Linked DNA regions of Sus scrofa. The protein of the gene in region 6 interacts with the protein of the main gene of each other region in a pairwise test. Links are inferred from orthologs where the notes say so. Each region holds a gene or a part of one and is shown on either strand. Other genes may lie near its edges. The genes, in order: VPS52, HSD17B14, FXR2, DEUP1, CDR2 and TBC1D22B.

What was found.
Region 1: the proteins of TBC1D22B (region 6) and VPS52 interact in binary tests that used the Homo sapiens proteins (3 or more experiments, as listed by UniProt). The link is inferred for Sus scrofa from reciprocal best matches to the Homo sapiens genes TBC1D22B and VPS52.
Region 2: the proteins of TBC1D22B (region 6) and HSD17B14 interact in binary tests that used the Homo sapiens proteins (3 or more experiments, as listed by UniProt). The link is inferred for Sus scrofa from reciprocal best matches to the Homo sapiens genes TBC1D22B and HSD17B14.
Region 3: the proteins of TBC1D22B (region 6) and FXR2 interact in binary tests that used the Homo sapiens proteins (3 or more experiments, as listed by UniProt). The link is inferred for Sus scrofa from reciprocal best matches to the Homo sapiens genes TBC1D22B and FXR2.
Region 4: the proteins of TBC1D22B (region 6) and DEUP1 interact in binary tests that used the Homo sapiens proteins (3 or more experiments, as listed by UniProt). The link is inferred for Sus scrofa from reciprocal best matches to the Homo sapiens genes TBC1D22B and DEUP1.
Region 5: the proteins of TBC1D22B (region 6) and CDR2 interact in binary tests that used the Homo sapiens proteins (3 or more experiments, as listed by UniProt). The link is inferred for Sus scrofa from reciprocal best matches to the Homo sapiens genes TBC1D22B and CDR2.

Annotation. Positions count from the first base shown.
Region 1 is NC_010449.5:29,632,229-29,636,846, reverse strand, and holds part of VPS52 (vacuolar protein sorting-associated protein 52 homolog), read left to right. Parts: intron 1-518; coding exon 519-586; exon of another isoform or gene 587-697; coding exon of another isoform or gene 698-868; coding exon 869-1,044; intron 1,045-1,433; coding exon 1,434-1,584; intron 1,585-1,858; coding exon 1,859-1,959; intron 1,960-2,075; coding exon 2,076-2,208; intron 2,209-2,315; coding exon 2,316-2,373; intron 2,374-2,709; coding exon 2,710-2,843; intron 2,844-3,446; coding exon 3,447-3,602; intron 3,603-4,027; coding exon 4,028-4,146; intron 4,147-4,412; coding exon 4,413-4,536; intron 4,537-4,618. UniProt on the Homo sapiens protein: Acts as a component of the GARP complex that is involved in retrograde transport from early and late endosomes to the trans-Golgi network (TGN).
Region 2 is NC_010448.4:54,140,512-54,145,680, reverse strand, and holds the start of HSD17B14 (17-beta-hydroxysteroid dehydrogenase 14), read left to right. Parts: upstream 1-1,537; 5' UTR 1,538-1,710; intron 1,711-2,070; 5' UTR 2,071-2,148; coding exon 2,149-2,236; intron 2,237-2,759; coding exon 2,760-2,798; intron 2,799-2,991; coding exon 2,992-3,074; intron 3,075-3,611; coding exon 3,612-3,693; intron 3,694-5,169. UniProt on the Homo sapiens protein: Catalyzes the NAD(+)-dependent oxidation of L-fucose, yielding L-fucono-1,5-lactone, which rapidly converts spontaneously to L-fucone-1,4-lactone. Can also act on D-arabinose and L-galactose, with lower catalytic efficiency. Does not use NADPH.
Region 3 is NC_010454.4:52,885,893-52,890,510, reverse strand, and holds the end of FXR2 (fragile X mental retardation syndrome-related protein 2), read left to right. Parts: intron 1-264; coding exon 265-435; intron 436-629; coding exon 630-708; intron 709-1,221; coding exon 1,222-1,331; intron 1,332-1,542; coding exon 1,543-1,629; intron 1,630-1,927; coding exon 1,928-2,150; intron 2,151-2,617; coding exon 2,618-2,815; intron 2,816-2,908; coding exon 2,909-3,109; intron 3,110-3,207; coding exon 3,208-3,303; intron 3,304-3,434; coding exon 3,435-3,535; intron 3,536-3,880; coding exon 3,881-3,976; 3' UTR 3,977-4,579; downstream 4,580-4,618. UniProt on the Homo sapiens protein: mRNA-binding protein that acts as a regulator of mRNAs translation and/or stability, and which is required for adult hippocampal neurogenesis. Specifically binds to AU-rich elements (AREs) in the 3'-UTR of target mRNAs.
Region 4 is NC_010451.4:25,816,778-25,821,395, reverse strand, and holds part of DEUP1 (deuterosome assembly protein 1), read right to left. Parts: intron 3,989-4,618; coding exon 3,817-3,988; intron 2,226-3,816; coding exon 2,130-2,225; intron 1-2,129. UniProt on the Homo sapiens protein: Key structural component of the deuterosome, a structure that promotes de novo centriole amplification in multiciliated cells.
Region 5 is NC_010445.4:23,794,664-23,799,927, forward strand, and holds the start of CDR2 (cerebellar degeneration-related protein 2), read left to right. Parts: upstream 1-2,139; 5' UTR 2,140-2,425; coding exon 2,426-2,504; intron 2,505-5,264.
Region 6 is NC_010449.5:32,866,120-32,870,737, forward strand, and holds part of TBC1D22B (TBC1 domain family member 22B), read left to right. Parts: intron 1-989; coding exon 990-1,297; intron 1,298-3,876; coding exon 3,877-4,056; intron 4,057-4,604; coding exon 4,605-4,618. UniProt on the Homo sapiens protein: May act as a GTPase-activating protein for Rab family protein(s).

The DNA.
Region 1 (4,618 bases), about 3.2 Mb from region 6:
AACCATGAGGTTGCGGGTTTGGTCCCTGCCCTTGCTCAGTGGGTTAACGATCCAGCGTTGCCATGGGCTGTGGTGTAGGTTGCAGATGCGGCTTGGATCCCGCATTGCTGTGGCTCTGGCGTAGGCCAGCGGCTACAGCTCCGATTAGACCCCTAACCTGGGAACCTCCATATGCTGCGGAAGCGGCCCAAAGAAGTAGCAAAAAGACCAAAAAAAAAAAAAAAAAAAAAAAGGATCCAGTGTTGCTGTGAGCTGTGGCCTAGGTCGAAAATGCAATTTGGATCTGGTGTTTCTGTGGCTGTGGCCGGCAGCTGTAGCTCCGACTCTACCCCTAGCCTGGGAACTTCCATATGCTGTGGGTGCGGCCCTAAAAAAGAAGAAAAAAAAAAGGAGTATTTTGTGGGGCATGGTGCTGACAGCCCCGCCACAGCTGCCCTCCATCAGCTAAGAGAGAAGGAGAGGTCCTGCTGGTCCAAGGAGCTCTATCTGCACAGTAAGGCCTTGACTTTTGTGGTCAGATATCCAAGAAAGTGAGAACATAGCATCTCTGCACAATCAGATCACAGCCTGCGATGCTGTCCTTGAGGTTAATAACCCTGACCTGGGACCCCTGATAACCCTGAACCCAGGTCATGGTCTCTGGTACCATTCTCTAGGTCATTAGCCTCAGGTGGGGACCATTTGAGTTGCCATCAGGATGATCTCAGCAGCCTTTTTTATTTGTTGCTGCTGCCGTGATGAATGCTATTTGCCAGGGACTTTTGGGGTACCTCTTCCCTCAGCACCCACTACCCTCATGGACTTGGGTGATTCCCTCATCCCGTCCCAACCCAATGGCAATTCAGCAACACTTCTGCCTTCCCCCCAGCGCATGGAGCAAATGTTGGGAGCTTTTCAGAGTGACCTCAGCTCCATCAGCTCTGAGATCCGGACGCTGCAGGAACAGTCAGGAGCCATGAACATTAGGCTTCGAAACCGCCAGGCTGTCCGTGGGAAGCTCGGGGAGCTTGTCGATGGTCTGGTGGTGCCCTCTGCTCTGGTCACGTGAGTCACCAGTTTGAATGGTCATGATGTCAACAGCAAGTAGATGAGCTGGAGTGACCTGCCCTGCTTATCTCGTGGGTCTTCCGGCTCCAGGTCGTCAAGTTCCTTTCAGAAACTGATGAGTGGGTTGACAACTCTTTCTAGCCTTGACATGTGCTTTAGGCATCAAAGATTAGGAATCATCCAGGGTCAGGCATGTAGTGAGGGGGTCCAAGGCTTGTGGGTGGTGGAGGTGTGTGTGTCCAGGAACAGGAAACTTGGTACACATGTGCCCTGACTCTCTGATATAGCGTAAGAAGGGAGAGGAGATGGGCTGGATGGAAGGGGTGTGGTTAGGGCCTAGCTATGTCTGGATCTCCTAACCCATCCCATCCCTCTCTGCTTCCCAGGGCAATTCTGGAGGCGCCAGTGACAGAGCCCCGGTTCCTGGAACAGCTGCAGGAGCTGGATGCCAAGGCAGCTGCAGTCCGGGAGCAGGAGGCTAGAGGCACAGCGGCCTGTGCAGATGTCAGGGGCGTGCTGGACCGGCTCCGGGTCAAGGTGGTGCATGGGGGTGGATTGTCCAGACTTCCTGAACCAGCGTCCCTGAGACCTTCACCCTGGGTCTCCCGTAGCCTGTCCCCGAAAACCTTGCCCTGCCTTTATTTGGCAGGGCACATCCTCACCTCTCTGGGTTCCCTAAGGGTCTTAAATATGCAAGAGATATTCTCTGCTGTTTCTCCTCCTGTGTTCAGCATTCATTACATCCCTCAGTGCCTCCCAAACAGTGAGAAGGTTGCAGCCTCACACCCTGTGTTTGGTCCTCCGTGTCCAGGCGGTAACAAAGATCCGAGAGTTCATCCTTCAGAAGATCTATTCCTTCAGGAAACCAATGACCAACTATCAGATCCCCCAAACGGCCCTACTGAAGTACAGGTGGCCACCTGAACGAAAGACCGTCTTGGGGGGAGGGGGGGACTCCCAGCTTTTGCGCAGCACGCGTGGTGTCTGGTGGTGCAGGTGACGGGGCTGACCCGTCCCTGCCACTCCAGGTTCTTCTATCAGTTCCTGCTGGGCAATGAGCGGGCCACGGCCAAGGAGGTCAGGGACGAATACGTGGAGACGCTGAGCAAGATGTACCTGTCTTACTACCGCTCCTACCTGGGGCGGCTCATGAAGGTGCAGGTGAGGCCAGGAGAAAGGCGGCCCCTGCCCTGGCTCAGAGCCGAGAGCCCTTTCTTGTTGCACTCTGGAAAGGGTTGGGTACCAGGGCTCCTTTCTCTTTTCTTTAGTATGAGGAAGTCGCTGAGAAGGATGATCTGATGGGCGTGGAGGACACAGCAAAGAAAGATATCCTGCAGCTGAGGACCGCTCCTGCTGGGCCTGGGGCGGGCGGGGCTTCTGGGTCCAGCCTCTGGGGCTCTGCTGCTCACCTCTGGGAGCGTGATAAAAGCTATGACTTTCTCCCTCAAGAAAATGCGCAAATCACTTTGATGTGTTGTTTTGCATGTCATGTCAGGGGTGGAGAGGCTCCCTGGGGCCCATTTGCAGACATCCGTTGAAGTGGGGCCCTGGTCCTGGGGGATGCTGAGGCTGTCTGGCTGCCAGGGCCCAATGGAGTTCCCAAGGCTTTGATCTTCCATCACTGCAGTGACAGTACTGTATTCCTTGATTGTGACCCTGCACGCTTCTTCTCAAAGCCGTCCCTCCGCAGCAGGAACACCATTTTCACCCTGGGGACCCGTGGCTCCGTCATCTCGCCCACTGAACTGGAAGCCCCCATCCTTGTGCCGCACACAGCGCAGCGGGGAGAACAGAGGGTAGGAGGAGGAGGAGGCAGACCCCTGAGTGAATCCCCCGGCCAGTCACCGGGTCAGGAGGCAGGCCTGGGGGTGGGGGCAGGAGCAGCAGCAGCGGCAGGCGGGGGGTGGGGGGTGCTCTCCTCCTGTGCCCCCACCTCTTCAGTCCCCATTCAGGATGCCCTCTCGAAGCCTGGACTCGGGTTAGAGGGGAGTGCCTCCTGTGCTCTCCTTGCCCAGCTTTCCTGGTCTTTCAGCCACGTCAACCCTTCTCTCTCCCCTCTTTTTCCCTCCCCTCCTAGTACCCTTTTTTTTTTTTTTTTTTGTCTTTTTTGCTATTTCTTGGGCCGCTCCCGCGGCATATGGAGATTCCCAGGCTAGGGGTCTAATCGGAGCTGTAGCCACCAGCCTACACCAGAGCCACAGCCACGCGGGATCCGAGCCGAGTCTGCAACCTGCACAGCTCACGGCAACGCCGGATCGCCAACCCACTGAGCGAGGGCAGGGATCGAACCCGCAACCTCATGGTTCCTAGTCGGATTCATTAACCACTGTGCCACGACGGGAACTCCTTTTTTTTTTTTTATTTTATTTTTTTAAAATTTAATTTAATTTTTTTTCTAGTACCCTTTTGAGGCACTCTTCCGCAGCCAGCACTATGCCCTCCTGGACAACTCCTGCCGAGAATATCTTTTCATCTGCGAGTTCTTCGTGGTGTCTGGCCCGGCTGCACACGACCTCTTCCACGCTGTCATGGGCCGCACCCTCAGCATGACGCTGGTAAGTGCCCTGGCTCCCCTGCTCTCTGCCCTCCAGGTCCTCCTTACTCATCACTGAGGTCAGGGCTCTGGACAGACTGCAACCAGATGCCCTCTTTCTAAAGCTGTGTGACTCCCCATGGAACCACCACAGCTTGGGGTCTCCCAGAACACCCCTGCCGCAGACCCACACCAGGCAATAGCACCTGAAAACTCAGGGGCCCTTAAACCTTGGTGTTCAGCCCTGAATTGTGCTGTGATGGGCCTGTGACCACAGATCTGGTGAGCAAGGCAGAGGATCGGTGGGCAGGGAAGGAGGGAGCATTTTCCTTTTAGATCGTCCCCCCCCCCACATCCCCAGAGGAGCCCGTGCATTTGTCTGTAGCCACTTGAATGACAGAGTCCCAAACACAATCCTCCAATCCCCTTCCTGTTCCTAAATCACAGAAGCACCTGGAGTCTTACCTGGCCGACTGCTACGATGCCATAGCGGTTTTTCTCTGTATCCATATTGTTCTCCGGTTCCGAAACATTGCAGCAAAGAGGGATGTCCCCGCCCTGGACAGGTGCTGAATTCTGGTTCTCGACGCCCCCCCCCACCAGCCTTGAGCTCTTGGTCTCCTACACACCTGCCCTGACCCTTGGGCTCCTAGTGGCCTCATCCCATTGGCCCTGTCCCTGTGTGTCTGCTGGGAAGCAGTGCTCTTGCTTCCAGACCCAGCTTTCACACCCTCCTGCCCCTGTGCCGGTCAGGGTGCCCGCACACACCCCAACCCCACCTCCCCACCCCTGTGCTCCTTGCTGCTATCTCTGATTCTGGCGAAGCCCACAGGTACTGGGAACAGGTGCTTGCCTTGCTGTGGCCGCGGTTTGAGCTGATCCTGGAGATGAACGTCCAGAGCGTCCGGAGCACTGACCCCCAGCGCCTCGGGGGGCTGGACACTCGGCCTCACTATGTGAGGGGGGGCGAGGGTAACTGGTTTGGGAAGCAGGGCTCCACGCTTGGCCATGGGGTTGCCCAGGGTCATGGTCATGGTG
Region 2 (5,169 bases), on a different chromosome or scaffold from region 6:
TCCGGCGTTGCCGTGAGCTGTGGTGTAGGTTGCAGACGCGGCTCGGATCCCGCGTGGCTGTGGCTCTGGCGTAGGCCGGTGGCTACAGCTCTGATTCAACCCCTAGCCTGGGAACCTCCATATGCCGCGGGAGCGGCCCAAGAAATAGCAACAACAACAACAACAACAACAAAAAGACAAAAGACAAAAAAGACAAAAAAAAAAAAAAAAAGACATTTGCCATGTTTGGGGGGGGGCAATTTTCTCTCTTCGCTAAGCTCCTTCACTTCATCCTCAAAATGAGGACGTGAGGGCTTCCTGGGGGAGGAATTCTAATGCTCCAATTCCTTTGCAGCCTGCCCTGGGACACTCAGGAGCCAGAAATGGCTCAGAAGCTCTGGGTCCTGGAGCAGGTAAGGAATTGGAGATCCAAACTAGAAGCAAGAAAGTCAACAAAAGGGTGAGGAGTAGCATTAAGTATTAATGTCTCCTGAGTACTCTTGAGTACCAGGGTATGGATGGCAGAACATTTCAGAGACGCTTGAATTCCTGGGGAATGAGAAAGCCCTAGTTCACAGCGGTTCCACCGTTGCTGTCAAACTCTGCTCCTCTGTCGGGAAGTTTTCGGGCAATTGGACTACAGATCCCATAATGCACGCAGACTTAAAAAGAGGGTCTCGCCCTGTTCAAAATCCTTTAGAGCCATATGCTAGGGACTACAACTCCCAGAAGGACACGCTCTGCACCGTGGTCCTCACCTTACAGGCAAATTATTCAAGGCCACCCCTGCATCTTCTTTTTTCTAGTCCGAGGAACACGACCCCTTATTTACCAACATCTGAGGGTCACCGGGAGCGAGTTCTCAGCCTCTCTCAAGCCTTGGCTGCTGAGGCGTCACAGTGGCACCGAATGATGACAGGTGAGAATGGGCTGGGGACCTTGGGCTCCTGGGTGTTAGGGAAGAGGGAGTCTGGAGGCCCGGAATCCTAGGTCCTGGTGGGGAGGGGGGTCCGACGACCGCCAGAAACCCTCTGCCTTGGTAAAGAAAGAGCTGGACAGGGCTTGGGGGTTCCAGACCCCAGTAGGAGGGGACTGGATCCCAGGACTGCCGTGTCTGGGGAGGAGAGGACGGGGAGCCTGGACTCCTAGGTTTGAGAGGAAAGTCCTGGGTGTCGGGACTTCTGGGTCCCAAAGTTTGCCATTCTCGTTCTCCGTCCGTCCTCTCCAGGTGGCAGTTTGGACTCTCGAGGAGACCCTCTTCCCCCTGCGTCGCCACCTCCGTCAGATCCCACGCCCTGCGTGTCCTCGCCCCCAAGATCTCCTCCAGTGGCCAGTTCCCACTCCACGGGGTTCTCCCACCGAGGGACTGGGCGCGACGCAGGCCCGGCCTCTTGGGAGCCGACCTGGGATTCCGGGACCGCCCCTCCCGCGCTAACCCCAGACGAGGAGGCGTGGCCTCTGAGAGTCACGCTGCTACAGTCCAGCTTCTGACCCGCCCAAGCAGGGCAGCCAATCAGAGCTGGAGGGCGTGTCCCGGAGGTACTTCCGGGACAGATGGAGCCTCTTCCCTCACCTGAGGGCGTGATCTGGTCCCCTCCCGGTGGCCGAGGAGTGGCTACTTTGGCCAAAGTTTGATTTTCCCAATACTTGTCCAAATTTGGATTAAAACATTGAACTCTTAGTCGATAACTTTCTGTCTGTTTGGAGTTGTGACACCGGTGTCTCGAAGAGGTAGAGCTGGAGTGGTGAACTCCTGGGTCCCGCGGGAGGAGGGGACAGCGGACTCAGCTTTGTGTGTCAGAGGAACGGGGGGAGCTCGAGGTCTGGATTACTGAGTCTGAGGGAGGAGGGGGCCGGCGACCTGGATTCCTGGGTCTGAAGGAAGAGAGGACCCGGGACCTGGACTTTGGAGTCCAAGGTCCGGCAGAGGGGGCCGGACTCCAGGAATCCCGAGTTTGAGGGTTGGGGGACCGGCCTCCTGGGTCTGAGGGAGGAGGGGGCTGGGGCCAAGTTCCAGGCTTCTGGCTTTCCTGGCAACGCCCCCGGGGCCGGGCTTCAGGATCCAGCCCCTATTTATGGTTCGACCCCAAGACCTCACCGGACTTCAGAGGGGGATAGAAGCCTCGAGTGAGTGTGAGTGAGTGGCCGAAGGAGACCTTCTGACGCGGGATGGCAACGGGAACGCGCTATGCCGGGAAGGTGGTAATCGTGACGGGGGGCGGGCGCGGCATCGGAGCTGGGATCGTCCGAGCCTTCGGTGAGTGGGGTCTGGTCGGCTCTGAACAGTGGAGTCTGGGAGCGGAGGGACCCGGGGGCTAATGGGTGTGGGACGAAGTATCTTCTGTACTGGAATCTAGATTCTTGTCTCGTAAAATCCAATTTGCAAAGTTAACGAAGGGAAGGCAGAGGTGGCCTGGGGCCTGAGATTGCGGCGGATTTTCAAATGCCATTGACTCCCTTTCTCTGGGTCTCAGCTATTGCTACAGAATGGGGGGCCGGGGGTGGTGGTTGAAGGAATATGTCTTTTGGAGGTTTAGGGTTTACTCTAGAACCCAGGGATGGAGACTCAGGAGCCCCAGAAGTCACCTGGAATAGCCAAGGAGAAGGCTAGGCTTCTGCCTTTTGCCCTACGGGATCATCATGAGACTTTGGGGTCACGAGGGGAACAGAGCTGGGGCGGTGGTGGGGGGGGAACGGCCCTGTTCCGGGTGGCCACAGAGGGCAGCAGAGATCTTCACCAAGGTCTCTGCAGGGCTAACCTATTCCCTGTCTATTCGCAGTGGAAAGTGGCGCCCAGGTGGTGATCTGTGACAAAGACGGTGAGTGAGGGTCCCCCAGTCCTCAGCCCACTGCCTCCTCCCTTAGATTCAAGAAGAATACAGGCCCCAGCACCCTCCTCCCTCAGACCCAGGATCCAGCCCCAGCCCTCCTCCCTCAGACCCAGGATCCTGGGCCCCCAGCCCCTCCTCTCTGAGACCCAGGCTCCAGCCCCCAGCCCTTCTCTTCCTGCAGAGTCCACTGGTCGGACCCTGGAGCAGGAGCTGCCTGGGTCTGTCTTTGTCCTCTGTGACGTGACTCAAGAGGATGATGTGAAGGTGAGCGCGTAGTTTCTGTCCCTCCCCGTCCCCCTCAATCTCCAATCGTTCTCTCTCTCCCTTCACCCCGGGCTTTGCACATGCTATTCCCTCTACCCTTCCCCATCTCCTGGCTAAATGACACCTGCCCCCAGAGTCTCAGCTCAGTTTCATCGCAAAGCTTTCCTAACTCGGCTGGCCACGTCCTGTGTCTGCCGAGAAGATTCTCCTCTATCTCCCAGGCCTTCAAGGCCCCTGGTCCCTCCTGTCACATGATCTGGATCCAGTAAGAGTTCTCCTTCTCCCAGGGTTTCTCCCCTTCCCTTCATCTGCTCCCCCATCCCCCACCCTCCTGGGTCTCTGGAGTAGTGAGCTCAGGGTGTGTGTCACCAGCCCTCTGGTCTCTGGCACCCTGGCGTCCAGTCTCCTCATCTCCTGCCATGCCTGGCGATTTGGGGTCGGCCCCCACAATGTCCTGTCCCCTCCGCGGTGACTCCGCTTCTGCCACGTCTCACTTGGGGGAGCCCAGCAGGGGCGCCAATGCTGTTCACTCACAAGACAGCTTTCTCCTCAGACCCTCTTTCTGAGACCATCCGCCGCTTCGGCCGCCTGGACTGTGTGGTCAACAACGCCGGCTCCCGTGAGTTGTCAACCCGCTTCCCGGGCTCTGTCCCATTGCTGCTCTGTGTCCCCAGGCCTGTGCCGCCACCTCTTTATGCCTCAGTTTCTACATTTCTAAAATGACAATGACCACCACTGTCCTTGCCATTACAGGGTGTTGAGAGTATTAAATAGTGTAACTGGGCGGAGTTCCCGTCATGGTGCAGAGGAAATGAACCTGACTAGGAACCATGAGGTTGCGGGTTCAGTCCCTGGCCTTGCTCAGTGGGTTAAGGATCTGGCTGTGAGCTGTGGTGCAGATACGGCTCGGATCCCGTATTGCTGTGGCTGTGATGTAGGCCAGAGGCTGTAGCTCCGATTCGACCCCTAGCCTGGGAACCTCCATATGCCACGAGTGCGGCCCTAAAAAAAAAAAAAATTGTGTCACTGCTCAGCCCCCTAATCACCCTAACTGTCTTGGGCAGACAGCGTCCATCTTGCAGCCTCCGTTTTGGTTTGGTTTGGTTTGGTTTTGGCCATGGCATGCAGAAGTTCCAGGGTCAGGGATTGAATCTGCGCCACAGCAGCAATAATGCCAGGTCCTTAGTCTGCTGAGCCACCAGGGAACTCCAACCTCAGTTTCTTTAAAGTGAGGCGGATGGCTCTTTTTTTCTGTGACTGTGAACAAGTACGCTTGGCCCAGGGCTTACAGGTCTTGGTGTGGAGGCTTTGAAGGGAAATTGTCATCTGTTTCATGACTACCCTTTATAAGAATGCCTCACATTGGTAAAGCGAGGCTCAGCGAGGTGAACTGATTGGACTAAGGTCACACAGCAAGGCTGTGATGGAAAGATGCCTTTCTTACTGGCTGGACAACTTTGAGCAAATTGATTTACCCTCTCCGGGCTGCAGTTTCCTTCTCTTGTCAAGATATAAAGAGATGGCAGGTACTAGTTCATCCATTCTCTCTATGTCCTTTGGCCTTTCAATAGATGTTTACTGAGCATCCGCTATGCCCATGTTCTTTCCTAGGGACTGGGGATGTAGCGGTAAACAAAACAGACGAGGCATTTCTGTCCTCGTGGGATTCATGTTCTAGAGAAAGGAAACAGATAAAAAAAAAAGACAGCTATCTTTCATCTTCATTATTCACCCTCTGGCCCCAGGCAGGACTTGGGGCGCTTTCCCAGTATTCACGGACATGCGCAGAGAGGCTGACATCTGTGTGGCCTGTAGCACTTTTTCCCAGCTAAGGTCAGACAAGGTGATACTCTGCCCTCCTGGGTTCAATCCTCAAACAGAATTTCCCAGAGGGGGGAGATGAGAGAGGGCAGGGGCCGTTTGAAGAGCTCGCTCTGGGGCCAGTTGGATGGAATCCATCCCAGTGCTGACACCTGCGAGTGGGGCAGCCTGAGGCAAGTCACATGACATTCCTGAACCTGGTTTCCTCATTTGCAGAATAAATAAAATAGTCTTGCAGGAGGAGTTGTTTTTAGGATGTAAGATTATAGTCTGT
Region 3 (4,618 bases), on a different chromosome or scaffold from region 6:
ATGTTTTGTTGGGCTCCTTGCCCAAATTCTGCGGTCATTACCTTCCCTCCTCGCCAAGCCATTGGTGTTTGGAAGTTAGGAGTGAAACAAAAAGTTCCCAAGTTCTCCACACAGGTCCTAGTGGTCAGCAGACTCCCAGGGAATTCTGGTTTTCTTTCATACATTTTTTTTCTTTTTATTATTATGTGAAGTATCAGGTACCTGGGATGGTGTTCTGAGATTTCACCACTGTGATTCCTATAGTCCAGTGTCTTTATCTTTCAGACAAGTAAGCAGCTGGCCGCAGCTTTCCAGGAGGAGTTCACAGTGCGAGAGGACCTGATGGGACTGGCAATTGGGACTCACGGTGCCAACATCCAGCAGGCCCGAAAAGTCCCTGGGGTGACTGCCATTGAATTGGGTGAAGAGACCTGCACTTTCCGCATCTATGGGGAGGTCAGCAAGAGATACCTGTCATCTCAGTCCCTTAGGGAATAGAGAGAAGAGAGTGTTAAACAGAAAGGAGACCTGTTGTGAGTCCCTCCCTGACTTTGGTGGCAGCATATTTTCCCCAAGATAGAAAGTGGCAGGAAGATCACTGTTTGGGATCCAGGTCCGCTGTTATTAGTGACGTTTCCCTCTTCTCTTAGACTCCCGAGGCGTGCCGACAGGCCCGGAGCTACCTTGAGTTTTCTGAGGACTCTGTGCAAGTACCCAGGAACCTGGTTGGTGAGTTGTAGACCTCTGTGTATGTAAGTATGTAAGAGAAATAGTGAGGGACCAGTTGTGAGAGTCATTGTTTTGTTTGTTTTTGTTTTTTAATTTTTGGCCATTCCCGTGGCATGCAGAAGTTCCTGAGCCAGGGATCAAACCCATGCCACAGGTATAACCAGAAGCACAGCAGTGACAATGCTGGATCCTTAATCTGCTGAGCCATGAGGGAACTCCAAGAGTCTTTAAATTGATTCTGGGCTTGGCGCCTCCCTGTGAACTTCCGGTTTTGCAAGGACAGAGCAAACAGTCTATAGTAGGAGTGACAAAAATGGGAGAACAGGTTTCTAGGGATTGTTATATTTTATCCTATGAAAATGCACCAGAAGCCTAGAAGCAGGAGAACTGTTAAACAGAATCATTATTAAAAAGCTGGAAGACTGTTTATCTTGTCTGTTTTTACTCTTCTTTCTTTCCTTTTTTTTTTTTTTTTTTTTTTTTAAAGGCCTAATTTCTCCTTTATCCATTTAGGCAAAGTGATTGGAAAGAATGGAAAAGTGATCCAGGAGATTGTGGATAAGTCTGGTGTGGTGAGGGTTCGAGTAGAAGGTGATAATGACAAGAAGAACCCCAGGGAGGAGGTATGGGTCAGCTATACCTAGAGACTGGTTTCTGAAAGTAGATGGGATCATTCTCTAAGCCATTCTCTGAGGGCTGGACTTTCTAGGGGTTGGGGCACCGGGACTTTGACTTCCCCTAGTAGACGTAGAGCCCAGAAAGATCTCATTCGGGTGGACTTACACTTCATTTAAGTCTCCTTCTAATCCGTCTGTCCTCCCCCCTGCTCTCCAGGGAATGGTTCCCTTCATATTTGTTGGCACCCGAGAGAATATCAGCAATGCTCAGGCTCTGCTGGAATATCACCTCTCCTACCTGCAGGTACCCAAGCCGGAAGCCTGGGAGAGGAAAGAGCCGCGTGTACAAGGGGACTAAGGATGCTGGTGGAAAAAGTTAAAAGTGATGCTTCCCAGTTTGTGTCTGAGTAGAACAGAAACCATGGGGTGGAAACTTGGGGCTGTGGGGCTGGATTCCAGAATTTTCTGTGTTAAGCCTTCTTGCATTCCTGAGAGTTCAGATATGTAGGGACAGTCAGGGCAGAGAAGCATGCAGAGAGGCTGTTGTTGAGCTTATACTTTTTTCTCCTTCCTTGTTTTTTCTCTGACTTCTGCCCAACCAGGAGGTGGAGCAGCTTCGCCTGGAGAGGCTGCAGATTGATGAACAGCTTCGGCAGATTGGGCTGGGCTTTCGCCCTCCTGGGAGTGGGCGGGGCAGCGGTGGCAGTGACAAGGCTGGATATACCACGGACGAGAGCTCTTCCTCCTCTCTCCACACCACACGAACCTATGGGGGCAGCTATGGGGGCCGGGGCCGGGGCCGGAGGACAGGCGGTCCTGCCTATGGTGAGCCGGCTATGGGAGAGGGAGGCAGGGCAGTGGTGGTGGGCGGGGGCAGAGGTCTGGGTGGAAGCTTGAGGAAAGGGTGATAGAGAAGATGAAAAAGTGGAGTTCCTGTTGTGTCTCTGGTAACGAACCCAACTAGTATCCATGAGGATGCGTGTTCAGTCCCTGGCCTTGCCCAGTGGGTTAAGGATCCGGTGTTGCCGTGACCTGTGGTGTAGGTTGCAGAGGCTTGGATCCCGAGTTGCTGTGGCCACGTAGGCAGCTGCAGCTCCAATTCGACCCTTAGCTTGGGAACTTCCGTATGCCGTGGGTGTAGCCCTAAAAAGACCAAAAAGAAAAAAAGGAAGAAAACAAAGTGATTGGCTGGAGGACTTAGGAGAGAGAGAGTCTTCAGCCTGGAGGCTGTGATGGATCCTGGGGTAGGGAGAGTGACCCTGATTGAACCTCACTGTGTTGGTGTTCGTCAGGCCCCAGCTCAGACCCATCTACAGCTTCTGAGACGGAGTCAGAGAAGAGGGAGGAGCTCAGCCGAGCTGGGCCCGGTGACAGGGATCCCCCGACTCGGTCGGAAGAAAGCCGGAGGCGGCCTGTTGGGGGCCGGGGTAGGGGACCCCCGCCTGCCCCCCGGCCCACCTCGAGATACAACTCTTCGTCTATCAGCTCAGGTACCAGAAGCAAACAGCTGGGTTTGTGAATGTGCGCCAAAAGGAAGGATGCGGTGATGGCACCTGACTCCTAACTCTTCTTCCTCTAACCAGTGCTGAAAGACCCAGACAGTAATCCCTACAGCCTACTGGACACATCTGAACCGGAGCCCCCAGTTGATTCAGAGCCAGGGGAACCCCCCCCAGCAAGTGCCAGGCGCCGCCGCTCCCGCCGCCGCCGCACTGATGAAGACAGGACTGTCATGGATGGAGGCCTAGAGTCTGACGGGCCCAGCATGACAGAGAATGGCCTGGGTAAGTAAGGGGTGTACCTGGGTCCGAAAAATTAGAACTGGGCAAGAATTGAGAGGTGGGAGATTGATGCACAGCTCTTGTTTTTCCCTGCCCCACAGAAGATGAGTCAAGACCCCAGCGTCGTAATCGGAGCCGCCGCCGCCGCAACCGTGGTAACCGGACTGATGGTTCTGTCAGTGGAGACCGTCAGCCAGGTCAGCCAGCCCTGGGGCTCAGCTCCTTCCTCAGAGAACAGGCTGCCTCCTAGCCTGTGAACTCTCGGGCTTGGGGTTCAGTGGTCGGGTACCTGGGTCCCTTCTGAAACTCGGTCCTCTGCCTTCCCCAGTGACTGTGGCTGACTATATCTCCCGAGCAGAGTCTCAGAGCCGCCAGCGGCCACCCCTGGAACGCACTAAACCTTCAGAGGATTCTCTTTCAGGACAGAAGGTAGGCAAGCAAGATGTAGTTCCCCCTACCTCCTTTTTTGTTGTTCTAGGGCAGGGGGGGCACAAGAAAACTGCCAAAGAAATCTCTTACTAAATTGCAGAGAAGGTGTGTCTGACGGAGTGTAGGCTGCATTTAGAATACTGGAAAGTTTCAGTAGAGGAGAAAGGAAAGTTGGGTTCTTATTTTCTGGATCTGAGTAAATGTGACTAGAGTCCCATCAGGTGAACCAACCCCCGGGTCAGCGGATGCCTGGCGCAAGGGGACGGTAGGGGCTTGTCGTTACCTGGATTTCTACTGACCCTTCTCTTTTCGTCCTCTCCGTTTTCTTTCCCATTTCCCCCTCAGGGTGACTCTGTCAGCAAGCTTCCTAAGGGCCCCTCAGAGAATGGGGAGCTCTCCGCCCCCCTGGAGTTGGGTAGTTTGGTGAATGGGGTTTCATAAACCCTCCAGCCCGCATCCCTCCCTTCTCCATCTCGCTTGCTGCCCAACACCATGGCCCTCACAGGCCCGACTGACCTGCGCTGGAGCTGCTCTTATCTAGGGGGGAGGGGGGTGGCACAGCAGCTTGGGTCCCCCCCAACCTCCAGGAGCTAGTGGAGGGGTGTGTAACAGGGTCATACCCCCTCCCTCTTGTCCACCCTACCCCCAGGGTAAGGGGAGCCTCTCTCCTTCCCCATCAGACTGGATGTGCCTTTATCCTCTAATGCCCCAATCTCTCTCTGAACACCCCCATTCTCCGCCTGTTGGTGCGGGGTGCTCCTTGACCCACCCAGATGTGACAGTTCAGGGGGGTTCCCCTGCTATCCCTACTCCCGTCCTGTACCCCCCATTTCTGGGGCCTCATCACTGTGGAAGACGGGGATAGTAAGGGTCTAAGTGGGTGGGAGGCATGGGGAAGGTTTTGGAGTAGAACCAGGGGTGTGTATGAAGGGGGGTGACAAGGTCCCCCAGGGGAGGGGGGACCAACCTTGTCTGGTGGATGAGAAGGCGTATTTATTTTTCACTGTACAGTATTTAAAAAGAGAATAAAAAAATCCAAATGGCTCTCTGGTTCTTGCGCCTTCCTGTGCCAGTTTGGTCTGT
Region 4 (4,618 bases), on a different chromosome or scaffold from region 6:
ACCACAGCCACAGCAACGTGGGATCTGAGCCGTGTCTGCAACCTACACCACAGCTCATGGCAACGCTAGGTCCTTAACCCACTGAGCAAGGCCAGGGATCGAACCCACAACCTCATGGTTCCTAGTCAGATTTGTTAACCACTGTGCCACAACGGACACTCCATCTACAAGAAAGTTTTGACAGAGTTGAATTATTCAAGGCAAGAATAGGATAAAACCTATCCTGAAGATATTTTAGGAAAATGAAGCTGTAAATAAATGAGGAATTTCAAAGAAGGAAGCATCAGAGTAAGTTAGCCACAACAAAACTGTGTCTGCCACAAGATACCATTTTCTGGTTAGAAAAATGACATATTCCTAGCTGCTGTGCAAAGCAAGTCAAACACACAGTACTTTTCTTTTCCTCTCTTTTCCCCTCCTTTCCTCTTCCTCCTCTTTTGCTCTCCCTCTCCAACTCTCATCCTTCCTTCCTTTTAATCAGAGAAGAAAAGAGAAGCAGAAAATTGCAGTGGAAGCACAAACAGCTGTTCTCTCAACAATGTAGCTCTTCTACAGTGTATTCTATGAAACACCTGTTTACAGTGTTTACACTGCAACTGCTACAATATTTGTTGGTTTTAGTTTAAAAAATACTTTCCATGGTCAAATATGTTTGAAGAATGATGGAGTAAAAAGGCTAAATGAATGCTTTTAAAGCCGACTTCTCACAGCTTGTGATATGCTAATATGCACTGTGAATATCCAGGAGGAGTAAAAAGCACTTCCTAAGCTCTCAGTGTTAGTGCACAGAACACATTTTGGTGAAATGGCCATAAAAATATTTGTTGACTAGCCAGTAGCCAAGTAATAAAATAGAGCTGCAAAGCATCAAATGGCAAGGGTTCATATATTAAGTGAATGCTCACAGTGATGATAAACAAGCCCCAAACTTTTTAACCACAGACATGAAAAACAAAAAACCCAGAATGTAAAGATTTAGTAAGATGCAACTAAACTAGTTAAATATAATTTAGAGATGGTACTTAACTTTTTTTTATCTAGATTTCTGTATTTTTAAAAACTTATTCCAGATCATGAGCTCTTTGTTTACACTGAACAACTACAATGATTCAATATTTATGTTGCTACATTAGAGCTTCACCTTTATAGAAAAAGCAAGGTTGACTGACTTAAGTGTTAAATGTTTAGTCTTACCTAGGAAAAACCACGTAAAGTTTCATAAGTCAAGTTACCATCTGGCAGCAGCTATTTAAATGACAGACAAAATGCCCAGGTAGACTTAAGAGCTAGTCTTGTAAGACGGTACCCATTAAGTGGCATCGAATGTTTCAATTCATATAGTAATGGCTGATCACCTCCCTGAAAAGGTGCTTAAGGAGGCGCTTCAATTACTGTGGGCTCCTTTAAGATCATTTGTGAAATATCTGCACTCCAAAAAAGGTTGGTTGTAAAGTAAAATTTCATAATCAAACCATATTTCCCAAAAGTCACTAAGTTAAGTAAGAATACAGCATCTACTAGACCTGAGATGCTCAGATGATTACTTCCCTACATCTCATCTGTGGTAAGAAAGAGAAGACCTTTTGCTTCCCAGCACCGTGGGAGTATAGTACAGGGACACATCAGAAAGAAATCAGTATCCCTATCATCACATATGCAAAAGCTCCCTCGTTTAGGAAACAGACTACCAATAACAAAACACTAAAGAATTTTGGCAATAATATAAAGTTATGTTCTTTGAATTATCTATTTCATGAGAGAAAATCTCTATATTTTAAATTGCCATAGAAGAAAGGGAATAGAGACCACAAAAGATAATATTTTGTTGTTGTTGTTCACATAGCTAATTATCATGACATAATTAATCAACAAATCATTTGATAAATAGAAAGCCATTAGCCTAGCACTGAGTCAACAGTTAAAGGGATGCAGAGCTGGCAATCTAATGAAAGAGACAAAATCAATACACATTAAACAATGAAAGACAGGGTCAAATATATGACCTAGCATTGAAATACAAGAATGTTTGCCTGTATTAAAAATAATTCATTTTAATACAATTAACACAATTTTATAAATCAAACCATATACCAAAACATTTTATATTAAATTGTAGTAAGTCTCCTTACTTGAGCTTTTAGGGTTTGAAGTTGTCCTTCATAATTCTGAGTCATTGCTAAGTTACACTTTTCCAAACTGTCCAACTTCTGTCTAAGTAACCCCACCTGCATAAGAATAAAATTTAATTTTTTTCTAATTTTTGCCTGACAAAAATCAGAAAATGTGCAAAAGAGGAGTACAATTCAAATAAAACTGCTGTACCAAACCACGAATATTTTTACTGTGGTTCTTAAAATAGTTATTAATAATTAAATTCACAAAAACTGAGCATTGCTAGCACTATTCCACTGGGTACACATCAGAACACTATGGATGTTTGACAAAAGATCTTTCTCACTGCCACATTTTAAATTAAGGTTTAGAATTTACTCTGCATTATCTTTTTGGGAGGCTCCTATCATCATCCCTCGGGCAGAACCCCTGCCAACATACTTCGGCCTTTATTTTGGGCCCCACTGCCTTCAATAGGAGCTCTGTTTTAGAGGTACTGTGGAACAATAGTTACATTTTTATAATAACAAAAAGCAAAATGTCTAAGAGGAGTTCTTTGGGATTTGGCTTACAGAATTTGTCCGCTTAAAAAACAGGCAAGGCCCCTGTTTGCACATCTGTGTTGTAACAGGTGTAAAGGTGAGAAAATAGTCCCTCACATGTGCCAGGTCTGATGACCTGCCTCTACTGATAACTCAGTTAACGAGGCCAGACAATAACTTAGTTATTAACCATGACAAAAACTAAGTTCCACTGACAGGGTGGTAGAGGTAGAAAAAAGACTGCTGAACGAGTTGACTGTTGATGTTTGGGTTATTAGCATATGGTCAGTAAAGACGTCTCTCATGCCTCGCCCCAAAGAAAAATCCACAGACATGAACGCCCACCTCAGGTGAAGCGTAGGGCTTTCCTCAAGTCCGCTGCAGGTCTGAGAGCGCTCAGACCTCATTCTACCATCACCGGCTTGGCCACAAACAACCTCCTGGGCCCTGGTTAGGTCCACCAGGGCCCAGGCACTCCTCCCAAGTGGGTGCCCAAATATACACACACTCCCTTCAATCCTTCTCTCTCTTGTCCTACAATCAAGACTTGACTTCCACTTCTTTCAGGAAAGATTGTTTCCTAGCAGATGAGAAGAGGCAAACACTCCTCAACTCTGCCTGTCTAAAGACACAGCTTTGACGACTACTTCTTTCTTTCTACAGCAGCAAAATAGTGACATTTATGCTTGCAAACAGTATTTATTTCACATACATGTTGAATGTTTACATTCCTCGCTGGCATTGACACTATATCTTATTTAACCATCAAATTACTCTGCTTGCCGCTTTTTTTGGGGGGGGTGGCACACCCACAGTATATGGAATTTCCTTCTCCAGGGATCGAATCCCAGTGGCCGCTGTGACCTATGCCATAGCTGCGGCAACACCAGATACTTAACCCACTGCTCCAGGCAGGGGATTGAATATGCTTCAGCAGTGACTGGAATTGCTGAAGAGACAATGCTGGATCCTTAACCTACTGTACCATAGAAGGAACCCCTGCTTGCCACTTATTTGCTAGAACACATTTAGCACACTGCAACAGAATTTCAAGCCATAAATGCTGTTGCTGATGCCTGATAAAAAGTATGTGTAATGAAAAACTTATTTTGATAGAATACTATTTATATCAGTCTGAGACATTAACACAGCTAGGCAGTACCTCTTGACCTTTCTGATCCAAACAAGTTTGTGCATTTGCCAACTCTTGATCCCGGAGATCTAATCTTGTCTCCAGAGCCCGCATCTTCCTTTCCCAATCCAGTTTTTTGTTGCTTACCATGATGTCAATTTGTTCCATTAATTCCTGAAGCTCGGCCTCACAAGGAGAAGCTCTGGCAATTGCAGAAAAGCAAAATATATTTAGAAAGAGTGAAATGTGAGAACAAGAAAAATTATGGTCTTGCTTTGAATGGCTTGACTATTATCTCCTCAAATTGTTCAATTATTTAAATAGGAAGAATTCCCAAAACTAGAGGTTAACATTTTAAATTAAAACTAGAAGCTGGAGTTCCCATCGTGACTCAGCGGTTAACAAATCTAACTAGGAACCACGAGGTTGCAAGTTCAATCCCTGGCCTTGCTCAGTGGGTTAAGGATCCAGCATTGCCGTGAGCTATGGTGTAGGTGGCAGATGTGGCTTGGATCCCGCATTGCTGTGGCTGTGGTGTAGGCCGGTGGGTTGAGCTCTGATTAAACCCCTAGACTGGGAACTTCCATATGCCACAGGTGTGGCCCTAGAAGAGACAAAAAAAAAAAAAAAACAAACAAAAACAAAAAACAAAACCCAAAACCTAGAAGCTAATTTCAGAGCTTATAATGTATATTCTTTTACTGGAAATTTTTAAAGTATAGTTGTTGCCATAATATAATGAAATGTATTAATAAAGTCACTGCCTGTGCTTCTATTATGTGCAGATGGTACATATAAGAAGAAAACTGTACCTGACCCAACTCTTTCCTGA
Region 5 (5,264 bases), on a different chromosome or scaffold from region 6:
CAAGAATGAGGGAGACCCCTCCAAAGCTAGGCTTTTAGCATTAAAAACTAATTTTCTTGTTCAAGGCAATTTTTGTTCAAGCTTTTTCAGGTGAGAGGGAAGTTTCCCCAAATAGTGTCCTTAAAAAGAACCTATAGGGTTCCCTGGTGGCCTCGGTTTTGTCACAGCTGTGGTTAGGTTGGATCCCAGGCCCCAGAACCTCCACGTGCTGAGGTGTGGCCAAGAAGAAAAAACGAAACAACCCACTAATACAAAAAGGCTGAGTTTATTGTTGTTATATTTGGGTTTGGGGGGGGATTGTATTGGGGTTTTCTTGCCGTGCCATTTTAAATCATCAGTAACTTTTATCTCCGGATCATTCTTGAATTTCATTGTTGTTATGTTTCTTGTTGATTTTTGAAGACTCTAAAAGAGCATTTCGATGCACTTTCCCATTTGATTTGGAGTCAAAAACAAGCTTCTGCCATGGAGGAAAAAGTCAGCACTTTCAATCTTGCAGATTAGAGACTAAAAAACTGTCTCTTAGCGATCAGAGACATGTTTCTGCCCCTTCAGCTTCCACAAATCACCATCCACAAATCCTAAATCCAATCATCTCTCTTTCCAAAGAGCTCTATCCATAGTGACTTTTAAATTAAGATAGTTGAGTTTGGAGTTCCTGCGGTGGCTCAGTTGTTAACGAATCTCATTAGCAACCATGAGGACACAGGTTTGATCCCTGGCCTCCCTCAGGGAGTTAAGTATCCAGCATTGCCATCAGCTGTGTAGATCGAAGCTACAGCTCCGATTTGACCCCCAGCCTGGGAACCTCCATATGCCATGGGTGCAGCCCTAAAAAGACAAAATAAATAAATAAATTTTTTAGAAAGCAAAGAAAAAAAAAAAAGATAGTTGGGTGTGATTATTTTCTTTCGGCTAGGGACTAATTTCTCTACCAGAATATTGACAATTAGAGCAGTACAGGCTAGACTAGCTAGACGCACAACCTAGCTTCTGTCTTAGCCTAGCAATAAAAAATTTATCAGTAACATTTTACCTTTTAGCATATTTGGCTTCAGAAGAAAAGAATTTATCAGTTTACCATTTCTGCTTTTATTACTTCTAACACCGTAAGTCCTTCTACGTTTATTAGTGCGCATTCTACTTTAAGAGACAGCACCGTTGTCTGTCAGCTGTGCATTACCGTTACATCAAGGCTGAGAACACTGACCTTCTGGTCTGTAACCCTATTTTAAAATGTCTGTGTTTTGTCTGCACAATGCTGGTGAAATCCACAACCTACCGGCAGTTATTTATTTTGCTATTGTCTTTGGAGACGAGTGTTCACTGCTCTGCTGGCCATCTAGTGCTTCGACTGCATTCTCTGCAGGTGTTAACATTATGACTCCAGAGTCCTGTGATCTGTGAATCTTTTTAAAAGTATGCAAAAATGCCTGCAATTTCTTTCTTTCTTTTTTTTTTAAGGCTAAGTTACCGTCAACTGCACCGGTTCCTGTTTGTCCCCAGATACTCAAGTGGGTTTGAGGCTCACCGTTTCAGGGGGAGTGAGTACAATCCTCAGCTGATTGTACTCAGATATCAAGGAGAAAATAGCTAACAGCCCTAAACTTTCGACCGACCCTCAATTTCTCTGCGTAGAGGAGACCAAATCTGGGCGTGAAAAGACCAGCAGAGGCCGGCGGGACAGCGGATCTCAGGATCCCGGAACCCTTCACGCCGCCTGCCAGCAACTGCCTTATGCTCCGAGGCCAGACTCCCGCCCCTCACGCCCACGCAGCCAGTCCACTGGCCAGCGCGCCCGACACCCACCACAGTGGCCGCTGAGGCCGCCACATCCACACCTGTGTAACGCGAATACGCCCAGTAGCTACTCAAAGCAGAGAGGGGCGGGACCTTCGGCCGCACCCCTTCCCCTTTTCCCGCCTTCTTTGTTTCCCCCGGAGTTCCCATTGGCTGCTTGCCCTTGAAACCCGGCGAACCGCGGGACTGCAGTGAGACGGGATTGGACGATGTCGCTGCCGCTCGGCCGACATCCCTCTCGCGATTGGCTGAGGCGCCGCCGGGGGTTTGAATCGCAGCCCAGATCGGGGAGGGTTCTGCCAAAGTGCCACGTTGGGCCGGGCTGCGGCGTGAGGAGCCGGCTCTGGGCGCCGGCCGGGGCGCTAGCGCCTGGGCGCTGGCCGTTGGGACTCTTTGAGCTGCGCGAGGCGAGTCGGAAAGCCGGTCCGAGGCTTGCGCTGCGAGCCGCCCCGCGGCGGCAGCGGCGGCTAGCTGTGGTCGGACTGCGCGGCAGAGCCAGGGCGGCGGCGCGTCCCGCCCGAGGGCGGCTCTGGCCGAGGGCGGAGGGGCCGGCGGAAAGCCCGGGGCAGCGGCTGAGGCGGGCCGGCGGCGGCGGGGGCCGCTGCCCCCGGAAGAGCCGGCCGAGATGCTGGCGGAAAACCTGGTGGAGGAGTTTGAGATGAAGGAGGACGAGCCGTGGTACGACCACCAGGACCTCCAGCAAGGTGAGGGCGCGGTCGCCTGGCAGGGCCTGGCCGGGGCGCTGCCGGCTCACGGCTTCTCCCGCCGCGAAACTTAAAAAGTTGCTTTTCCTCGGGGCCAACAGATGCCAAGTGCAGGGAAGGTCTGGCGCTCACCTGGTGTTGGGACTGTCGCGCCTGCCCATCCCGCCCCGGGGAACTGCGCTGCGCGGGACTCGGGCTTCTGCGCAGGTACCAATATCAGCATCACCATCATCACCCCTCCTGCTAGCTGGGCGCCAGGCACCGTTTGACGCGCTTTCCCCAGATTAACTGATTTAATCCCCATGGCATTACTCGGAGCAGAGAGGGGAGCCCTTGCTGGGCTCAGGGGCCCCTGCTGCCTCTCCGCCTCCGGGAGAAAACACAGTCGGTGCCAAGTGTGAGCTGCTGCAGGTGGCAGGAACCTTGTCTAGCCCTTTTCACACATTCGATGGGCACCATAACTCCGCGAGAGAGTAACTTGTGTTATCCCCATTTTCCAGATGGGCAAAGCGGAGACTAACGCTGCCAAGTGCCTTCCTCCAGATTAAGTGGGGGAGAACGTATTTATGAAGCCACACACTCAGACTGGGGAGTCGTCGTAGCCTCTGCCCAAACCTTATCTCTTCACCACCTGTTTTACGGCTTTTTCAGTTGCGGGAAAATTTTTGCTTGTGTTCACCAGATGCAAGGGACATGACTTGAGGGCACTTCAGCGGTATTCCCCTTCCTTCAATTTGCACCCTTGCTTTCTAGTTAAAAACAGGTGTTCGTTTAAAACAGGCCCTAGCCTGTCTTGGATTTCTTGTCTCCAGAGAGACACCTTAGAGGGGCCTTCACTTTGGAGCCAATGCCAGTTTTTTGCCTCTTAATAGCAGGGACTTGCAACTGGGGAAGCTGTTGGTGTGCCAGACGCTAACAGGCCCCTTCACACAGGTGCTCGCTCATTTCGTAGGGCAGTGCTATGGCAAAGAAGTACTGAGTACTGCTGTTGGGGGAGCTAGGGTTCCACTCCAAACTCCAAAGTAAACTTTCTCAGCCCTCATCCTGGATGCTGAATACTCCTCAGGAGTTGTGGGTTTTTTGTTTTTTGTTTTTTTGTTTTTTTCTCCAGGCCTCTTCTGTTTCAGCAATGCTGTGCACATCAGCTTTTTCAGCTCTAAACTGGCACAAAAAATTAACACCTCATGTAGTTGACTATTAAATGACCGTGATTGTTTGTTCATGCTAACCATTGAACTTGGGGGCTGGGGAATATGGGCTTAAATGACTCATACTTAGAAAAGGAACATAAGGAGCTCTTTGGGAGGGGGGAGATAATTTCTTACATCAGTATGGAGTGGACAGTCGCAGGAGTTCACCGTTATGCTTATATAGTCGAAGCTCTTCAGTGGCTGCAGTGCATGCCGTATTTGCCATCATATTCACAAGGTCCACAAGGCACATTTGTCTTACATTTTAACCTGTTTTCAGAATTCCCCCTAAGGGTTGATGGCCTAGTTTGATACTTTCTCCAGGATTTATGAGGCAACCACTGTGCACTTGCAGCATTCCCCTATAATACATTCCGCAGTTCATCCTGTAATCAAAGCTAAGTATTTTTTTACTGTGTTTAGAAGGCGTAGATCTGTACAGGCTGGTAGGTTGGTTGGTTGGTTGGTTTGAATCTAGCATAATACTTAGCAGGTAGTAGAAGCTCATCCCGACACTCAAACAAGATCCCTGTTTTCATGGCTCTCTTCTCTCAGGTGCCTTAGCCCACACTGCCCTTTCGCCTTGTGGGAGGTCGTTAGGAACAGCTGATTGTCATACTTCAGTCTGCTGAGAAGCAGATGCCACATTTTAGGGTGCGATGCAACACTCTTTAACCTCTGATCAAAACAAAGTCATCAGATGTTCAAGTTCCGTGAAACCCTAAAGGGCACAGGTCCAAACTTCCTCAGTGCCAGTTTGCGTTTGGAATTTGTTCGATGCTTTTCAAAGGACGTTTACATCTGTTACCACAGTGGACTTTGACATAACCCTCTATGTCATAACCAAGTGTGTGGGGCAGGAATAGATATGAAATTCCAATAGTCCCAACTGTGAATACGGCCTGGAGAAGAATGAAGGCTGCCATGTGAACAGAAGGATATCTTTGTTCCAATTTCAATAAGTTATATGTTAGAGAACTCCTAAACTTTCAGCTGATTTCTTTCCCCCACTGTTGTTTTTTGGTTTTTTTTCCCATGTTTAAGTTTTATTGCCGTATAGTCGATTTACAAGGCTGTGATCATTTCTGCTGCAAAAAAAGAGATTCAGTTATACATATACACACGTTTTCATTCTCTTTCAGATTCTTTTCCCACATAGATTAGTACGGAATATCAGGCAGAGTTCTCTGTGCTATCCGGCAGGTCCCCACTGGCCAATCAGTCCATATACCTCTGTGTGCATATGCCAATCCCAAACCCCCAGTCCATCCCTCTCACGGATTTTTTTAATTTGTTAATTTCTCAAAGCTTTTTGTTATCTGCTCTGTGTCATCTAGGCAGTGGAGCCACAGAGTCTGTCCACACAGTAGTGTAGACAGGATCCTACTCATGAAGTGGACCATCTAGGAATCTCTTGAGTAGAGATGCTGCTGCCTCCTGGTGTGTGCCCACCACACAGCCTGGCAGGGTGACCCCTCCCTAGATACTTGCTGCTGAATAAAGTTTGGGAGCAGGTCTGACGTCTTCAACAGTTGGAGAAGCAGATCTAATGGGATTTTATGCAGTGCAC
Region 6 (4,618 bases):
ACGGAGGTCCAATTGGACCCAGGCAAGGGGTCCAATCGGAGCTGTTGCTGCCAGCCTACACCACAGCCACAGCAACTCGGGATCCGAGCCATGTCTACGACCTACACCACAGCTCACGGCAACACCGGATCCTTAACCCACTGAGCGAGGCCAGGGATCGAACCCGCAACCTCATGGTTCCTCGTCAGATTCATTAACCACTGCGCCACGACAGGAACTCCTTTTTTTTTTTTTTTTTTTTGTCTTTATGCCGTGGCTTTGTTAAACAAAAGAGTGGCACCAAAGTCGTATCTCTCCTCGAGGGCAACAGGACCTCATCAGAGTAAACAGGGAACAGCTTGTTCATGGTGGAACTCAATGCTTACGAACACATAGGGGCTACCTAATATGATCTCTTGTTCTACCAGTAGTTGATGTCCTACTCAAAAAAAAAAAAAAAGTTTATGTTGCTGTAACAGATGAATTCTGAAATCTCAGTGAACCGGAACGCAAAGGCTTACTTCTTGCTCCCCTTGCTCATGCCACTTGTCCAGGGGAGAGTCAGGTGGGTGTGGAGGGCAGGCTCTGCTCCCCATAGTCACTCTTTTTTCCAGCTGAGGGAGGCACCACCCTCTGGAGCCCCTCCAGTGATCACAGTAGAGGAGAGCTTCTGGAGAACTCACACCTGTTCTGTCCCTTGGCTTGGAAGTGACTGCCTCACTTCTCTCCTCAGCGCACTGGCCAGAACCAATCATACAGGCTCACCTGAGCGCAAGGGACTGGGAGGAGTAGAAGGGCACGCGGACTCTTTGGAGAGCACGGTGTCTTAGTTTCGTCTGTCTCTGCAGCATAGGGCTGGCCTGGGTGAGGAATAGATGTGGATATTTTGTGTTTGAAGAAGGTAATGAGTGTGCATGAGACAGTTTGTGATGCTATTGATATTATATTAAGCACTTGATGTTAAGATGTGTCAGACCATTCCCTTGGTAACGGTGTCTCCTTTCTTAAAGCTTCATTAAAGAGCGGTCAAAAGTCAACACGGTTCCTCTGAAGAGTAAGAAGGCTTCCAGTTTTCATGAGTTTGCCCGGAACACCAGCGATGCTTGGGACATTGGCGATGATGAGGAAGAGGACTTTTCCTCCCCTGCTTTCCAAACTGTGAACTCAAAAGTTGCTTTGGCAACTGCCGCCCAAGTGCTAGAAAACCACAGCAAGCTGAGGGTGAAACCAGAACGGTCCCAGTCCACAACATCCGATGTTCCGGCCAGCTACAAGGTCATAAAGTCCAGCAGTGATGCTCAGCTGTCCAGAAATTCCAGTAAGTTCGTCCTGCTCCCCTCCATAGGTTCCACCTTTTCAGCAGAGTAGATTTTAAGTAAAACCAATTTTTCTTTAGAACATCCCTCAGATCTTGCATTGGATGATAAGTAAGCAAGCTCTGGCCTGAGAGGTGATGTCAGGGAACCTAACTGGTCATGAGCTGGCCTTGTTTCTCCCACCCCCACCCAAATGGCTGCCTGGCTCTGGGACCTGGGGCTTCACCTCCTGACACCCACCGTTGCCTGCCATTCTCTTCTTCCTTTCCCTGCGGTGGGGTCCAAACTTTTGTGGTTCGATTGCTTCGCATTGTTTTAGTCCTGGTCAGGTTGAAGAATACCCATGAAATGCAGTTCAAGTTGTTAGTGGCTGAATTTCATACATGTTTGGCTCTGTTGGTTGACCTCCTCAGCTGTGGAGAACAACCACCAGCATTCAGGTTGTCTTTTTCCTGTTCCTGAGGAACAGGGTCCCTGTGTCACAGCTCCCAGCCCACCAGGTTGGGTGGGGCAGGAGGAGGAGGTACCCCTTCTGCTTTTTCTCAGGAAACTGGCAGCAGTAACTGGCTGAGATGATGGTGGTTTTATCAGATGTTTGGGGTTGCTCGGTGTACTCTGTTAAATGTCAGAGTCTTAAATTATTGCTGTATTTAAGGTTGTCCTACAGGGTTTTATGAAAGCCAGTTATTCTGCGCTGAGAGGGAAGGGCCCTCGTCGGAGTGAAAGTTAAAGCAGCTGACTGGTAAAGGCTGAAAGGGACGCAGGAGGTCAGAGCCCTAGAGTGTGTCCCGGCTCACGTTGTGAGAGAGCTGCTTTTACAGTTTTGGACTGAGGCTGTGGTCGTGAAATTAGGCTGTAAGACCCTTTCCGATCATTCCATAGTCCCTTTCCATCACCGATTTGGGCCCCACCTGCACGCTGTGCCCGTTGCAGGCATTCAGGGTCTGTTGACCATGTGGCCATAGCTATAGGCTACAAGAAGTGTCCTCACTCCATGTTTGAGGGTCTCCAGAGGGTCCTAGTATAAGGAAGACCCCACCATGGTCCCTAATGAGCTGCCCTTGTTCAGCCAGACCGCCCAGAACATTCCCGTTATAGGGCTTCTTCCTGTGGACACCTGTCTGTGACTCCTGACTCCGGAGGTGCAGGTCGGCCTCACTCTGTGGTGTGTGGTCTGCGTCTCCCAGGCCCCATGTAGCACCAGGGATCCAAGCCAAGTCCTATGTGGCTCTTGTTCCTGTTAACCTAGTTGTGCTGGCTGAGGAGTGTTCACTGTTTAATTCTTGCTGTGACTACTGCTTTTTAAGGCCCAAATGCCTAAAGAATATGAGTCACGAAAGGACAGTCATGAGTTTTGTTGGGAGTAGTAAAATACAGAAGGGTTTTAGAGTCAGAGCTAAGGTGCTGTCCCAGCTCTCCCCACAGGTTACTTACCTCTCTGAGCTGCAGTTTCCTCCTCTCTAAACCAGTGGGGAACTCCTACCAAGTCTTGTAAGGACCAAATGAGAGGTCATGTGTGGATATGACCAGCATGATTTTTTTTTTTTTTTTTTTAGGGCTGCACTCGCGGCACATGGAGGTTCCCAGGCTAGGGGTCCAGTTGGAGCTGTAGCCACCGGCCTTCGCCAGAGCCACAGCAGCATGGGATCCGAGCCACGTCTGTGACCTACACCACAGCTCACAGCAACACTGGATCCTTAACCCACTGAGCTAGGCCAGGGATTGAACCTGCGTCCTTATGATTCCTAGTCAGATTCATTAACCACTGAGCCACAACGGGAACTCCTAGCATGATTCTTTATGCATATTAAGCGTTCAGTAAATGTCAGTCCTCTGCTCATTTCTCTACCTGCCGTCTAGTTTAGAAGTTTCCAAACCAGACATAGAGTTCAGCTTGAGTCTGTGTTCCTGTTATTTCAATCACATCCCGGCAGAATTAAAAGCTGGCTTTTTTTGGTGAGAAGTGTAGGCGTGCAGAGGAACCGCAGCCACTCAGAGCGGGCCTGCCCCTGGCCAGAGCCTCTGGCCTGGTGTGCAGGGTACATGGTGGGCCAAGAACAGGTGAGAGTTGTGCCAGATGTTGAGCATCTCTGCCCTTGGGGCAGCCGCCTGGGGCGAGCAGCTGCCTCCGTGTGCTGCAGTGTGCTCCACCGTGTCCTTCTTTTCCATGCGCTCTGTGATGTGTGAACGGAAGGCCAGCCCTGCCTTTGACTGCATTGCCCCAAAGAAAAGTTCCAGGTTAGGGTAGAAAGAAAATGATTCATTTTCCCCCGAAGTCACCAAAAACATAGTCAAAGTTGCTACAGCCGCTGTGGTCTCCATTGACACACGAGGCACCTTGGTGTGGACGAGAAAGGGCTCTGACCAACTGCTTCCCTTTCACCCTCTACGAGTCAGCTGCTTTAACGTTCACTCCACTCAGGCCCTGGGCAGGCAAGTGGAGCTGGCTGGGTTTCCATCCCCAGCTGCCCCACATGAGCCCCCTCGGGCAGCGCAGAGCCCGTGCTGAACTGTCAGGTGTGGGGTCTCCCGATCGCCACCTGCACCCAGCCTACTCTCCTTCTCTATCACATTCTCCCAGGTGACACGTGCCTGAGGAACCCACTCCACAAACAGCAGTCACTCCCTCTCCGACCCATCATCCCCCTCGTTGCCCGGATCTCAGACCAGAACGCCTCTGGGGCACCCCCGATGACTGTCCGGGAGAAAACCCGCCTAGAAAAATTCCGCCAGCTTCTCTCCAGCCACAACACTGACTTGGGTGAGTCCCCATGAGCCTCAGGCAGGCCAGGACCTCTTGGTGACTGGAATTCTCAGAGACCTGGAAGCTACTGCTCTTTATTCTTCCCTCTTTTACTTTTCCAGCATCTCCTGATCTGGTGCCCATTGAAGTGACATGCAGGTATTAAGTCAGAAATGTGTTACTAGAAATTAGGGGCCAAGTTAGGTGGGACTGGATTCTGTGGCCGGTAGACCATAGAGTGACGACTCTGGCTTGGGTCTCCCTCCCTCAAGGCGACGCTTACTGAAATCCACACCCATTGGTCTTTCTCTTCCCTCCGACTCTCATCTGTGAGCTGACTGGTCACTACTGCAGAACCGTGTCCTTGGCACCTGCCACTCAGGGCTGCTCTCTGGGGCTTTTTCCCTGTGCTTGTCGGTAGCTGGTGGTGGTGGTGGCGGTGCTGCTGGTGATGGCGGCGATGGTCTTACTGGGACAGTGGGAGGCACCAGGCAGTGCTGGCTAAGGCTTGTTTTGGGGCATTTGTGAGAAGGGCCACATCCAACAAAGCCATTGTCTGTTTGCAGATGAGCTGAGGAAG